Linked DNA regions of Mus musculus: regions 2 and 3 are each reported to be linked to region 1. The links are microRNA targets in miRTarBase. Many come from high-throughput screens and were not tested one by one. Region 1 holds a microRNA gene; each other region holds the end of a gene's coding sequence.
Evidence for each region. The annotated mature microRNA mmu-miR-5113 reads ACAGAGGAGGAGAGAGAUCCUGU and lies in region 1 at 2,512-2,534, opposite strand. An mRNA with a match to its seed (bases 2 to 7 or 8) in the 3' UTR can be bound and repressed. Matches are read on the target gene's strand: a 7mer-m8 pairs with bases 2 to 8, a 7mer-A1 pairs with bases 2 to 7 and ends in A, and an 8mer does both.

Region 2: miRTarBase lists Ctbp2 as a target of mmu-miR-5113. Seed matches in the 3' UTR shown: 7mer-A1 at 2,954-2,960.
Region 3: miRTarBase lists Hinfp as a target of mmu-miR-5113. Seed matches in the 3' UTR shown: 7mer-A1 at 858-864.

The regions. Positions count from the first base shown.
Region 1 is chr15:80,938,342-80,942,582 of GRCm38, reverse strand. Mir5113 (microRNA 5113) reads right to left here and starts at 2,544; the gene lies at 2,463-2,544. Tnrc6b (trinucleotide repeat containing 6b) reads right to left here. Exons shown (of 25, transcript NM_144812.3): 25 at 1,497-4,241.
Region 2 is chr7:132,984,671-132,988,911 of GRCm38, forward strand. Ctbp2 (C-terminal binding protein 2) reads right to left here. Exons shown (of 9, transcript NM_001170744.1): 9 at 2,341-3,681. The coding sequence ends at 3,501. Zranb1 (zinc finger, RAN-binding domain containing 1) reads left to right here. Exons shown (of 10, transcript NM_207302.3): 10 at 1-1,721. Among named protein-coding and RNA genes, the nearest start is that of 4932437C15Rik, 15 kb to the right of the region's middle.
Region 3 is chr9:44,292,664-44,296,904 of GRCm38, reverse strand. It overlaps Hinfp (histone H4 transcription factor), which reads left to right. Exons shown (of 10, transcript NM_172162.3): 10 at 325-1,232. The coding sequence ends at 709. Among named protein-coding and RNA genes, the nearest start is that of Abcg4, 6.5 kb to the right of the region's middle.

The DNA.
Region 1 (4,241 bases):
CCATTTCCTGAAAGCTGAGTTTTTTTTTTTTTTTTTTTTTTAGATATTTTCCTCGTTTACATTTTCAATGCTATCCCAAAGGTCCCCCATACCCACCCCCCAACCCCCTACCCACCCACTGCCCCTTTTTGGCCCTGGCGTTCCCCTGTACTGGGGCATATAAAGTTTGCAAGTCCAATGGGCCTCTCTTTGCAGTGATGACCGACTAGGCCATCTTTTGATACATATGCAGCTAATGACAAGAGCTCCCGGGTACTGGTTAGTTCATATTGTTGTTCCACCTATAGGGTTGCAGTTCCCTTTAGCTCCTTGGGTAATTTCTCTAGCTCCTCCATTAGGGGCCGTGTGACCCATCCAATAGCTGACTGTGATCATCCACTTCTGTGTTTGCTAGGCCCGAAAGCTGAGGTTTTAACCTGCACCTCCAACCCTACTAGCTGAAATTTAAAGCCTTTGGTAATGAAGGTCTCATATTGAAGGTTTCTGTTGTTTTGCCAACCTCCATTTCTGAAGCCAAAACCTAAATAAGACATGGGCTTAGGATAGGCAGATCCACCCCACATTTCCCAGTGTTTATATACACTTTCATTTTTGAAATACTGATCAGAGACAGGATCTCAATCACTGGGCTCTACCCACAGGTTGTGTTTTTTCTGAGTTCCAGGCTGGCTTTGAGCTTTCAGTCTTGAGATTAAGGCAGGAACCACAACACCTGGCCAGTGTTTACAATCTTTATGAAGAAAGAACTGGATGACACACAAAAGGATTCCAGCTGTTTATCAACACAGGTATTTCGGAGTAGCTTTTGTGGTGCTGGGTTTTAAGTACATGTGCCAAACATGTACTTTACCACTGAGTGAGTAATTGCTGGCCTGATTTCTGACCATCGCCTGGGTTGCTAGGCTGATTCAGCCAGTGGCAGAGGTGAGTGTGAGTTACACGGGTGCATATACATGGCATGCTCATAACGGTGTACAGCTGGCAGTGGGCATTGGACAATGCTACCACCTACTGTCACCTAGACTATGCCAAGCATAACTTTTCTAAAGAGTTTCCTGCTGCCTGGCTGAAAAAGCACAACCTCCTTTCGAGCAGCTGATGGCAGCAGAGGCGTCTTCTCTCCTCTACCTCGGTGCCCGGCAAACACAAACTCGGGCTTCCCAAGACACGAGGCAATAGCAAAAGGTCACCCTCAGTTTCTTTTGGAAAGTTTGAACCCTGCACCACGGCAGGTGGTTTTCAGCTCTGAGACATGCAGCAATTAGTGGAAACAGAATGAGGTTCAAACCCAACTGCAGAATTTCTGACATGCTTTTGTGAGGACCAAAAGGGGATGGGAGGGAAGATTCATGGAAGAGAGAAGAAAGAGAAAGGAAGAAAGGAAAGAAGGAAAGAAGGAAGGGAGGAAGGGAGGGAGGGAGGGAGGGAGACTCAAAAGAAGCCAGCAGGTCAAACATTTCAACTATGAGACTAAAACCAGAAATGACAACAGTAAATGCTTAGCAGCCAAACACATTTATTAGTCTTTTTTCTTTTTTTTCCAGGAACTCAAAAATATTTTGTAGTTATAATGTAAGCAACTGAGTTGCACATAATACAATCATATCTTTCCAAAATAAAATAAAATAAAAACTAAAAAAAAAAACAAAATAAGCTGTTTAAAAGCCCAAAAAACCCTTCAGAAAACTCTTATATATGCATTACATCATCTCTCAGTTTTAATGAAATGACTACGACTTTAATCCTTACCAATCAACCTGTCACAATCTGAGAAAACACCACCCTTCAGTTTTGTTTGTTTTTGATATATATATATATATATATATAATTTTTTTTTGAAATCCAGCATGAGAAATACAGTACCTGCTATGGCAAAAATACACATAAAATGCAACTTTTCAGCTTATTTGTACATTAGTAGAGTTTAACATTTGTTTTTTAAGTGAACCAGTGATTTTAAGTACCACTATACTAAAAAAGTAAAATAAAATATAGAAAGGGGGTCGGCCTGCCGTGCAAGTGAACCACCAAAGTGCCTAGTTTCTGTGTCCATGTTAAACCAGTAAGATGAACAATGTTACCCTATGGGAGTCTGACTGAACCTCTATGTTAAAACGACAATGCCACAGCCTTCCTTTTCTCCCCTCAAACAGCCTTAACATTTGTCATCTGCAGTTTCAATTGCCCAACAGAAGAGAGAAAAGAAAGCCACCAACATAATATTGTAAAAGTGTTTTCAAGTATAAGAAAACAAAACACTTATAGGTAACTCGCAGAGCGCATCAACGTGGGCAGCAGTTTAGTCCTTTTGATTTGACAGGTTGTTTCTGCCGAGTGTTTCGGATGAGAGGATTTTCATGGTACCTTCCATTTGTGTGCAAAGTTGGAAAGCTGCCTCTTAAAAACTTCAGCCTCTTTCTGGTGTCTTTCTCTGAACCTTTTGATTAAAGGGGCAAAGAGGGCCAGGGAGAGCAGAGAGGAGGGAGTGACCCTGGTGTTGCAGTGAGTTAAACAGGATCTCTCTCCTCCTCTGTCCCATCCCTAGGTCTTTAAACCTCTGGTTCAGCCTCAGTGATTTCTTACTGAAGGGTCTCTCACTACTCACTGTTTCCTGATTTGGTAGAATTAGTTTCACTATGTAAACATAGCCCCCTAGGATTATGGAACCCAAAGCAGCATTTGTATCTCCATCGAAAGGGAGAAAGATAAAACAGTCCAGAGACCTCTCCTTAGGTTGCTTTCTGTTGTTGGTTTTGGTTACGCAAAACAGGGCTGGGCTGGGCTGGATGCAGAATGAGTTGCAAGCAGATAGTGGGGAGCGGTTGGATCTGCTTGATTTTCCCTCCCAGAAAAGGTTATTTTTAAACCTGTTAAAAATGTTCCTGCACCTTAAGTCGTGCTGAAGTTAAGGCCAAGGGTGCAGATCTTGTGCACATCTGTGAGCACACTAGAGGTGCGTGCACCATTTGATGTCATGTGTTGAGACCACTGCATACACTTTGGTCACTGGTGTGTGCAAAGGGTGTAGTAGGGGAATGCCCCAAGAAAGAGGTGCAGACATCAGCAAAGCCCTTTGGGAACATCAGAGAGGGAAACAAGGGCAGGCAGAACCCCGTCGATAGGAGAAAGCACACTGATAAGCAAGGACCTCCAGACAAACTACAGAAGTCAAATCCAAGGGAACAGTGCCACGCAGAAGATAGGCAAGGGATGTCCATCACTTTCAACCAGATTCCTCCCTCAAAGGAAGTCGTCATTAAACAGATCAAGGAAAGCACTCTTGACTATAGCTTCTTAACAGATATAGATTTGAGTTAAAATGAGATAAAATGAATCTTCTACTCTTGTTCAAGGGAGCCCACGGTCTAGGAGGGCAGCGGCTGTCAGCACCCTCACAGGCAGCATGTGCCAACAAGGATTTTTAAGGATGTCAGCTCTAAGCTCAATTTCCTTCTAAGTAAGAAATACATTTCCAGAACATTGCTAAAAAGGCTACGGGACAGACTAAAAAATCAGGGACTAAACTCCACTGGGGATTAAAGGACCACACTTAAAGAGCAAGAAGTGCATACATGTAAACACACACACACACACACACACACACACACACACACACACACACACGGCAAAGAACTTCTTGAAGTCCCTGGAGGGTATGGATCATATATGGAAGAGAGAAATTCAGATATTGCCCACCCTGGGGCCTTGGTGGTGGAAGAGATGGCATTTAGTTAGGGCAGGGTGTGGTCACTGGTCTGCTGCCCTGTGCTGTGGCGGGGGAGGGACACCAGGAGAGAATAGGCAAACCACAAACCCAAAGCCATCCCACCCGTCTGCTTTGCTTTTTCTTCATCAACAAGAATTCAGATCTGAAACTTCTGACGGCTTAACATGCAAATATCATATTTTAGGGTTATTTTCACAGCAAAGAAAATGTTTCAAAGACTTATCTGGTTATTTACACATCCTTATTGTATAAAGAATAGCTCACTGATGTCAAGAAAGGAGGAGTGAAGGGTTTACATTGCAGGGGAGATATACCTTGAGGTATCATTTTGTGTCAGACACTTGAAACATCAGGATTTTCTTGTTGTTTTGCTTTTGTTTAAAGGCAATCGAACAGATTGGAACCCTGATACAATCATGCCTGTGCAGCCCTGCACAGACACAAGGAGACTGTGATCACGTCTGTCACTCATTACAGTACTGTGAACATAACAGAGATTGCTGTGTGGGAAACA
Region 2 (4,241 bases), not on the chromosome of region 1:
AAGAGGGTTTTAGTTTCTGTTGTTTTCAATTTTTCCGATTTGCCCCTTTCATTATTTAGGTATTTGTTTGGAAGAGTGCCCTGTAAAGGGGGTTCTTACTCGACTCTGGGCGGTGCATTTGTGCACTTCTACCCTGGATGGATGGATGGATGGAAAGGGAGCAGGCTCACTCATCCCTGGGTGGGTTATGTGACAGTTACTTGGACTCAACCTGTTCTGTTCCCAGGCGGCCATGCAGACAGTCTTCAGCTACTTCCTGTCTTTGTCACCTCTGCTCTAAGCAGACCCTGTATTAGGGGCAGGCCTTTGGTTAGGCTGATTGGGAATACAGTTCAGTACAGAATAAAGATTTTTAAAATGCAGTAAGGTGGTCAATGCATTGTATGATCAGTTTCTGTGTAGTCTGAGAATTTTTGCATGTTGGTTAGTTGTAGCATTATTTAAAGTTAAAACCATACTTTTTAGAAAAAAAATTTATGGAGAGTGTTAATTGACCACTTCAGGTATATGTTAGTACTGGGTAAACATTTCTGACCTCCTCAGGCACACAACATGTAGTGTCCTGATAAGCACTTAGACTGATGTGGCAAGCAGTTGCAAAGTAGCAAATACACACATTTCCTCTTCTCCTCCCCTTTAATGAAAAGGCTGTGAAACCTTTAAATCTTGTTTTTCTGATGAGATGGTATTGAAGTGTATACAACTTTTAAGTTTGCTGGAATACTAAAAAGAAAAAACTTATGAGCTGTTATGTCTTTAGTTCTCTCTCTTGTGAACACTTAATAAAAAGGTGTTCTCAGGATGAAAGATCATTTATGCTGCATGCTAAAACCAGAAAGTAATTTTCACAGTAGGTGACTCCATATAAATGAATTGTGGTAACAATACTGGTAAATGTTACTGTTCCAGTAGTTAGTGTTTTTCTACAAATTGACTATTTCGTTTTCATTTTGATCAGTGAATGATAACCAAGTCAATAGAAGGCTGTCATTCTAAGTACTTAGCATCCATAGCATCTAGAATAGCTGATCTCCATGTGTAGAGTTGATTTTTCAGGAGGCAGAGATCCAGTTAAGCAAAACCTTCCTCCCAAATAAGCCACAGAGAGCTGAGAGGGTAACACTGGTCTCTAGGTGCATCTGTGTTGTACCCAAACCTTGTGGTACAGAGTCAGGCTCAGGATTGAGCCTTGTTCTGCATATTGTCAATTCTTGAGTGTCCTTTCCTGAGTTCCCTCTGTATTTATATTATTTATTTATTTATTTATGACCAGTGACCCTGACCACACATAATTTGATAGGTACCCATTCTTCCCTGTGGGAAAGAATTAAAGAAGGCTCCATTTCTTGGACTCTTAAGATAGGAATGGGGCTTTCATTAGTTTCTCTAGCAGACTGCTGGCTGTGAAATGGCCAACCCCTTTGGGAAATCAGCGCTATGTTAAGCTCTTGAACTAAACCAACAGCCATAATTATTGTCCCAAGAAAGTGTAATGCCGTCCTTTGTAAAAGATGATACATGGCTGGGTGGCAGGTATAGGGATTTTCAGATGGACTGGACAGTAATACTTTTATAACTACGTGGACTTTATGGTTCTTTTTCTAGGGTGAAACCAGTACTTTGTTTTTATCCTGATGTTGTCGTTCTTTGGAGTCAGTTTATAATCATTTCTAAAGGACTGTTTGAGCAACCACAATCTAATTAAACAAAACCTAGGCACACCATGGATTCAGATCTGACTTTCTGTTTCTCACTGTTAGGTTTACTACACTAGCCATAACAAATGTTAAGTACTGCTGTGTAGATGGTTGGGGCCTCTTTTTCCACAGTCACTGACAAGATCTGTAATACGGAAGGTACTCCACGTGAGCTCATTTTATAGCGCAGTTAAGGTAGAGCACCCTCCTAAAAAGAAGGCAGCCAGACAGGCTTACATTGTAAGACACTTCATTCTCTCAGGAACAGGAACCTTGGAATTGTGAGCATTGAGTGCTACTTCAGAAGGTAAGTACAAGTGGAAGTTTTCAGTCACTTTATAAATATTAGGTTACCCTCCCTCCCCCAAACAAAGAGTTCACATCTACATTTGGGCATATTAAAATCAAAACTCTAAAAATTAACCAGTTTTGTTTCTGGAATTGACTTCACTCCAAAGCACTGCCTCATCTTTAGGATAGCCTACCTAATTTGGACTTCTGTGAGATAAGACACTGTCACCACAAGAGTTCGAAACTGACTGACAGTGTCAAGGGCTAGCTTTTACATAGGCGAGATGTAAATGTACATCTCAAGGGCTAGCTTTTACAGAGGTGAGATGTACTTAAATGTCAGGACTTAAAAGAAATTTTAATTACTTTATTGAAAACTGCACTGAATGCTAAAATGTCCACCTTTACAATAAACAAATACAGTAACGATAACTCACACTAAAACAAAACATTTCTGATAGCCATTATTTTTCTGTTTGGGACAGTTTAAAGTTTTTTTTTTCTTTTGTGTCACAAAAACAGGAATGTACCTATACAAAGGCTCAAAATAGGCCATCTTTAAAAACAAAAAGGCAATGATTCACAAAAGACTATGAATAGAACATGTAACTAGCTGATACAAATCTAATAGGATTTGTTAAAATCAGTCACATCTAATAGCACATCTGAAGTGTTCTTGTATAAAATATCACGTGAAGAAAAGAATTTATCAATGTCTAAAAAAGTGGGTTTGTTCATAGACAATCTGACAAGTTACCATAAAAAGTGTTTCCTGAGACATAAGGAAATGCAACATTATTCTTCTTGAACCCTTCTCGTCCAAGACTTTCCACTCAATAAAATAGCTGAGGATCTGAAACTGAGAAAATAGATTTGAGTACAAACAGCTTGTGAAACTTAATACTTTTTTCTTTTGTTCTTTTCCTTTTTTTTTTTTGTTTTTTTGTTTTTTTTTTTTTTTTGTATCAGAGGGTTTTACTGAACCGACTCTGCTGCTCAGATGTGAAACCTTCTGTATAGGAGCTTTTACTTCTTCAATCCTGTGCGTGGAGATGTCTACACAGGCAAACAATGTCCTCCCCATCTTGGCTTAATTTTAATCTTCCTATCAGCAGAGGCACCAGCCCCTGGAGACCAAAGGGACTAGTCTTGATGGGGATTTCCTCTCAACTTTTTATTGATATTCGGAGCTCTTGATGCAACATTCTAGAGCAAGCTCTGCAGGACCTGCTGTGCCCAGGGGATTGATAAAGGAAAAGCTCTATTTATTCTTTGTGATTTGATGCACAGATGAAAAACTTAACACACAATAACAGAAGTTGGTCGTTAATAATCACGTCCTAGTCTTCCCACACCTCTGGAAGCAGATACCATCTTCAGTTTTCTAGCTTTTGTAGCTTTAACACTGCAGTATCAGTGATGTCCAGGATCAGTTTAAAAGACCATCAAATTCATCCGTTTTCTACTGTCTCTTGGTCCCAAGTTTATCGGATTAGCTTCAGGCATTCTCTGCTATTGCTCGTTGGGGTGCTCTCGATTGTCCCCGTGTTTTGTGGGCTGGTTGGGGGAAGGAGCTTGGGAGGGGTGTGCCACTGTGGGGAGGTTGTGAGTCACGGGGATGCCCCCAGGGATGATCCCTTCCATCGCTGGAGGAAGCCCTCCTGGAGCCACACCTACAATGCCGGGTGGATACCTAAGGAACACAGAAAAAAGGTCTTAAGTTCAGGCCAGTACACAAAGGTTTGTTATCCTTAACCCAAAGTACCAGTTAAGATCAAGGTTTCCTTTGGAAAATAGCCAGTCAGGTAAAGTGACTTTGTGATGACCCTGTTTATTTCACAAAGTACTTAAAGTGGCTACTAAGCTCGTTTCCTTCCTAAATTTTCATGTTCAAATCTTAATCTCTAATATACTGAGAAGATGGAAGTTTGGGGTAAATGGGGACAGTGGGGCATATTTATGTCTTGGCCTGAATTTTCCCTTCCAGAAATGAGGAATGGCCTCGTAAGTCACTCCTGAGATGGCTGAAACCTCTAGGATAGCTAGTTAGTCCTATGTTCCCAGGAGAGGATGGCTGTGCCTTTCTCTGTATGTGGAGACATTCATTAGGCACTATGCATGAGCTGCCTACAGAGCATATGGTTCTTACAATGTGAGTCAACGTATTTAGTTACCAAACCCTTTGTAACTGAGGGTTATATCTCACTGTGGAAGCCAGGACCTCTCAGCACCATTCATTTTAAGAGTCTCCTG
Region 3 (4,241 bases), not on the chromosome of region 1:
ACATGGTGGCTCACAACCATCCGTAACAAGATCTGACTCCCTCTTCTGGAGTGTGTGAAGACAGCTACAGTGTATTTACATAAAATAATAAAATAAATCTTAAAAAAAAAAAAAAAAGAGCAGTCAAGTGCTCTTAACCACTGAGCCATCTCTCCAGCCTGCCTCTGAACCTTGATGCTACAGATTCCATTAAAAGCCTTTTCTTAATCTTTAGTTCTATCACATAGAATCCTAAGATTTCTTCCAGATGGCATATTTGTATCTTCACCCTCTGATTCTAGGCAATTTTTCCATCCTCTGCTGATGTACTGCCTTCTCCTCCAGGTACAAGGAACATGAAGATGGCTACATGCGACTGCAGCTAGTTCGGTATGAGAGTGTGGAGCTGACACAGCAGTTGCTGCAGCAGTTACAAGAAGGATCAGATCCGGGATTGGCACTGAATGAGAGCAGCCTGCAGGGCATTGTTCTGGAAACAGTGCTAGGGGGGCCAGGACCTGAGGAAGAGACAGAAGAGGAAGGTAGGGTTGTTGAGGGAACAGCTCTCTCAGCTTCTCAGGACAACCCCAGCTCAGCCATTCATATGGTCAGTCAGACAGACACCCAAGGCCAGCGAGACATTGTCTACTGTGTACTGTCTGAAGGCCCAGGAGAGCCCCCGCCAGTCTCCGAAACCCTCAAGAGAGATGGAAAAGCTCGAGGAACCTGAGGAGCCGGGGTCCAGGTGGGCTGAGGCTGCAGAGTCTGGCCGGTCCTGCTCCACATCTTGAAGTTTGAGCTGGGCAGGAAGCGGTGCCCCAGGGGTCAGCCTTTGTTCTTGGATGCCTTTAGAAGTGGTGCTGAGAACAGTGTGTTCCCCTCTGACTCAGAAGGCATCATTCTATAGACTCTGGGGAGTTGGATTCATTGAGGAAATCCTACATGTATGTTCTTATTAGAGGAGCTGTTACCAGGTTTAAGTGTACTCCCTTGGCATGCTAGACAGTAAGTATTTAGTCTACATCCATTCCAATTTCCAGGGATCCATCGATCCATTGACCCAGGGATGAGGGACTGTTCTTTCCAAGGGCTGTTTCCTCACTGTTAGTTACGCATTGAGAACCAGGTGCCATTTCTCTCAAGGTTTCCTTTTACATTCCAGGGACACTTGTTATCTTCAGGGACACGATTATAGATACTGTGTATGTGTGGCAGTTGTCTTTTGGGGAATAAAAGAAACACTTGGGCTGTTACTTATTTCTTAAGTTTGATGGCAGTTAGCCAAGTAACAGATACAGCTGCTTAGAAGTAGAGCTGAATAATTAGACTTCTCCCTTTAGTGCTCAGGACGGTTCCTTTAACTGTGGTGTACCCATTTAGAGGAGGAGTCCACTTCCTCCAGAGCATCTTCCACTTCTGTGGAAGGAAGCTCCATGGACTTCACCATGAATGAGTGCTAGCAGTGTTACAAGGTTAATACAAATGGCTCCTGGACAGTACCCTCCGTTCTAATTAGAACCCTGTGCCTCTGTGGTAGGTTGGGGTGTGGGACTGCAAAGGAAACAGAAATGGAGGTAGGTCAGGAAGTGACCCTAGAGAATGCCAAATACTCAAGGGCCAGGAATCAAGCTAGAAAATCTATACAGTTTCCTACAGAGTGGATCTATTTTGATAAGCTTATGTCACATATATGATCATGTGTGTGTGTGTGTGTGTTTTGCCTTTATGTATGTAAGTATATCATAGTCAAGCAGTGTCCATGCAGGTAAAAAGGGTGACCAATCCTCTGGAACTGAAGTTAAAGACAGGTGGGTGCTGGAAACTGAATGTGGTTCTCTGCAAGAGCAACAAGTGCTCTCGCCTGCTTAGCCATCTCTCCAGCCTCTTTTGTTGTATTCTTGAAGTTGAAATTCCTCAAAAGAATTAACTCTTTTTTTTTCTTTATTTTTAAAGATTTTATTTATTTTGTTTATGAGTATACTGTCACTGTTCTCAGACACAAAGAGGACATCAGATTCCCATTGCTGTGGTTGTGAGCCACCATGTGGTTGCTGGGAATTGAACTGAGGACCTCTGGAAGAACAGTTAGTGCTCTTAACCACTGAGCCATCTCTCCAGCCCCCACCCCACCCTTTTTTTTCCCCAATTGAAAAACATTAGACATAGTGGCACTTACCTTTAATCCTGACACTTAAGGAGACAGAGGCGGGCATTGGAGGTTAAGGCCAGTCTGGTCTACAGAGTGAGTTCTAGAATAGCCAGGGCTACATGGAGAAATCCTGTCTCAAAAAAACTTAAAAAAAAAAAGTGTAGTATATGTGTGAGTGTCTGTCCCTGGGTACATGGTATGTGCACTCTCACCTGTTTTCTCGACTAACCAGTGAGCTCTGGGGATTTGCCTTTCTCTGCCCCTGATACCATGCTGGGTAGAGCTTTTACCTAAGTGTTGGGTGTCTGGGCTCAGATCCTTGTGTTTGTAGAGCAAGCACTTACTGACCGAGCCATCCCCATGCATATTGCCCTTTTGTTGGCTCTCTTAGTCCGTGTAAAGGGAGTATTCTTGGGGACCTTAGATCCTTAGATAGCTGCATAGAAGGATTTCTGAACTTTAGCATCTTCAGGACGAAGCCTTCCTAAACTGTCCAGGAACTGTGTCTGCTTCACCACCACCAGCACCACCTGTGTGAGGCAGGATCTCCCTGAGCTCGTTTGACTTGGGTCTTCTGTCTTGTGCTTTGTAAACAAGGCCCTGGCTTTCCTTCCCAGCTTTGCTAAAAAGAAAACGAAAAGGAGCTAGATGGTGGTGGTGCACCCTTTTAATCCCAGCACTTAAAAGACATCCATGTAGATCTCTATGAGTTCAAGGATAGCCTGGTCTATTGAGAGAGTTCCAGGATAGCCAGGGCTACACAGAAATCCTGTCTTGGGGTGAGAGTAGGGGATGATGAGGACTGTTTTTTTTTCTTTTAAATTTTGCTTTGAGAGGCAGGCTTCAGATCTTTTGGTTCTCTTCTCTAACCCGCTTCCTGGCTGCTGGGATTACAAGTATGTACCACCATACTCAGCTCCTGATTTCTTACTGCAAAAACTGCCTATTACAGAAGTGTAGTGGTACACACCTAATACCAGCATTCAGGAGAGTCCAGCAGATCCCTTGAATTGGAGGCAAGTCTGGTCTATGTTCCAGGACATTCAGGGCTATGCAGAGAGAGCCTGTCTCAGAAATAGATGGCCTTTGTAAAGAAAAAACAAAAGGCTATATCAATTTCTATTGAGTCTTTGCTATAGCTTAGGCAGATTACGTGTAGAAGTTCGGGAAGACTGCAGGAAGAGGCTTCCTCCTAAGCAGTAACACAAAGAAGGCAGCCCTAGAAGGATTGCAGTGTTTGAAGGGTTTGGTGCGATGGGGATACCAGGGAACCCAGGAGTTGGGAACTAGTGTGGCTGCTTCTCAGAAGAGCACTCAAATATGAAATGAATGAATAAACTGCTCAGGACTGGAATAAATGAAGAGCATGGTCCTTTCATGTAGTGTAGCAGGAAGGGGTAAAGAAATCGTTTCTAGACCATGCTGGGAATTGAACTCAGGTCCTCTGGAGGCAAAACGGATGAGCCAAAGGGTGTTACAAGACTTCAAGTTCTACTGAGGGAAGGTAGATAAAGAAAGAGACTTTGGTTAAGACCAGCCCTATAGTATTTACCTAACAAAGGCATAAGTTCAGTTTCCAGTTGTGACAGTTAATTTGCCAACTTGACGTAATCTAGAGTCACCTGCAAAGAGAGTCTCATTGAGGGACTGTCTAGATCTCGCTGACCCATTGTGAGCATGTCTGTGTGGGATTATCTTGATTGTGTTGAGGTAAGAAGATCCACCCACTGTGGGTGGCACTATTTTCTGGGCAGGCAGATCCTTAGTGTAGAGACAGCTGAACACTGGCAGGCATGTGTGTATTTGTTCTCTGCTCTTGACTGTGATATGTGTCAAGTTCCTGACACCTTGACTCCCCAGTAGTCTGTAACTTTGGAATTACGAGCATAATAACCCTTTGTCCCTTAAAGTGCTTTTAGCAGGATATTTGTCACAGCAACAGAAAATGAAACTAATACACAGTAACATGTGTGGACTGGAGAGGTGACACAGTGGTTAAGAGCACTTGCTGTTCTTCCAGAGGATTCAGGTTCAGGTATGAGTACCCACAGGTAGCTCAAGGCCATCTATAACTCCCAGTTCCAGGAGATCTGATGCCCTCTGCTGGCCTCTG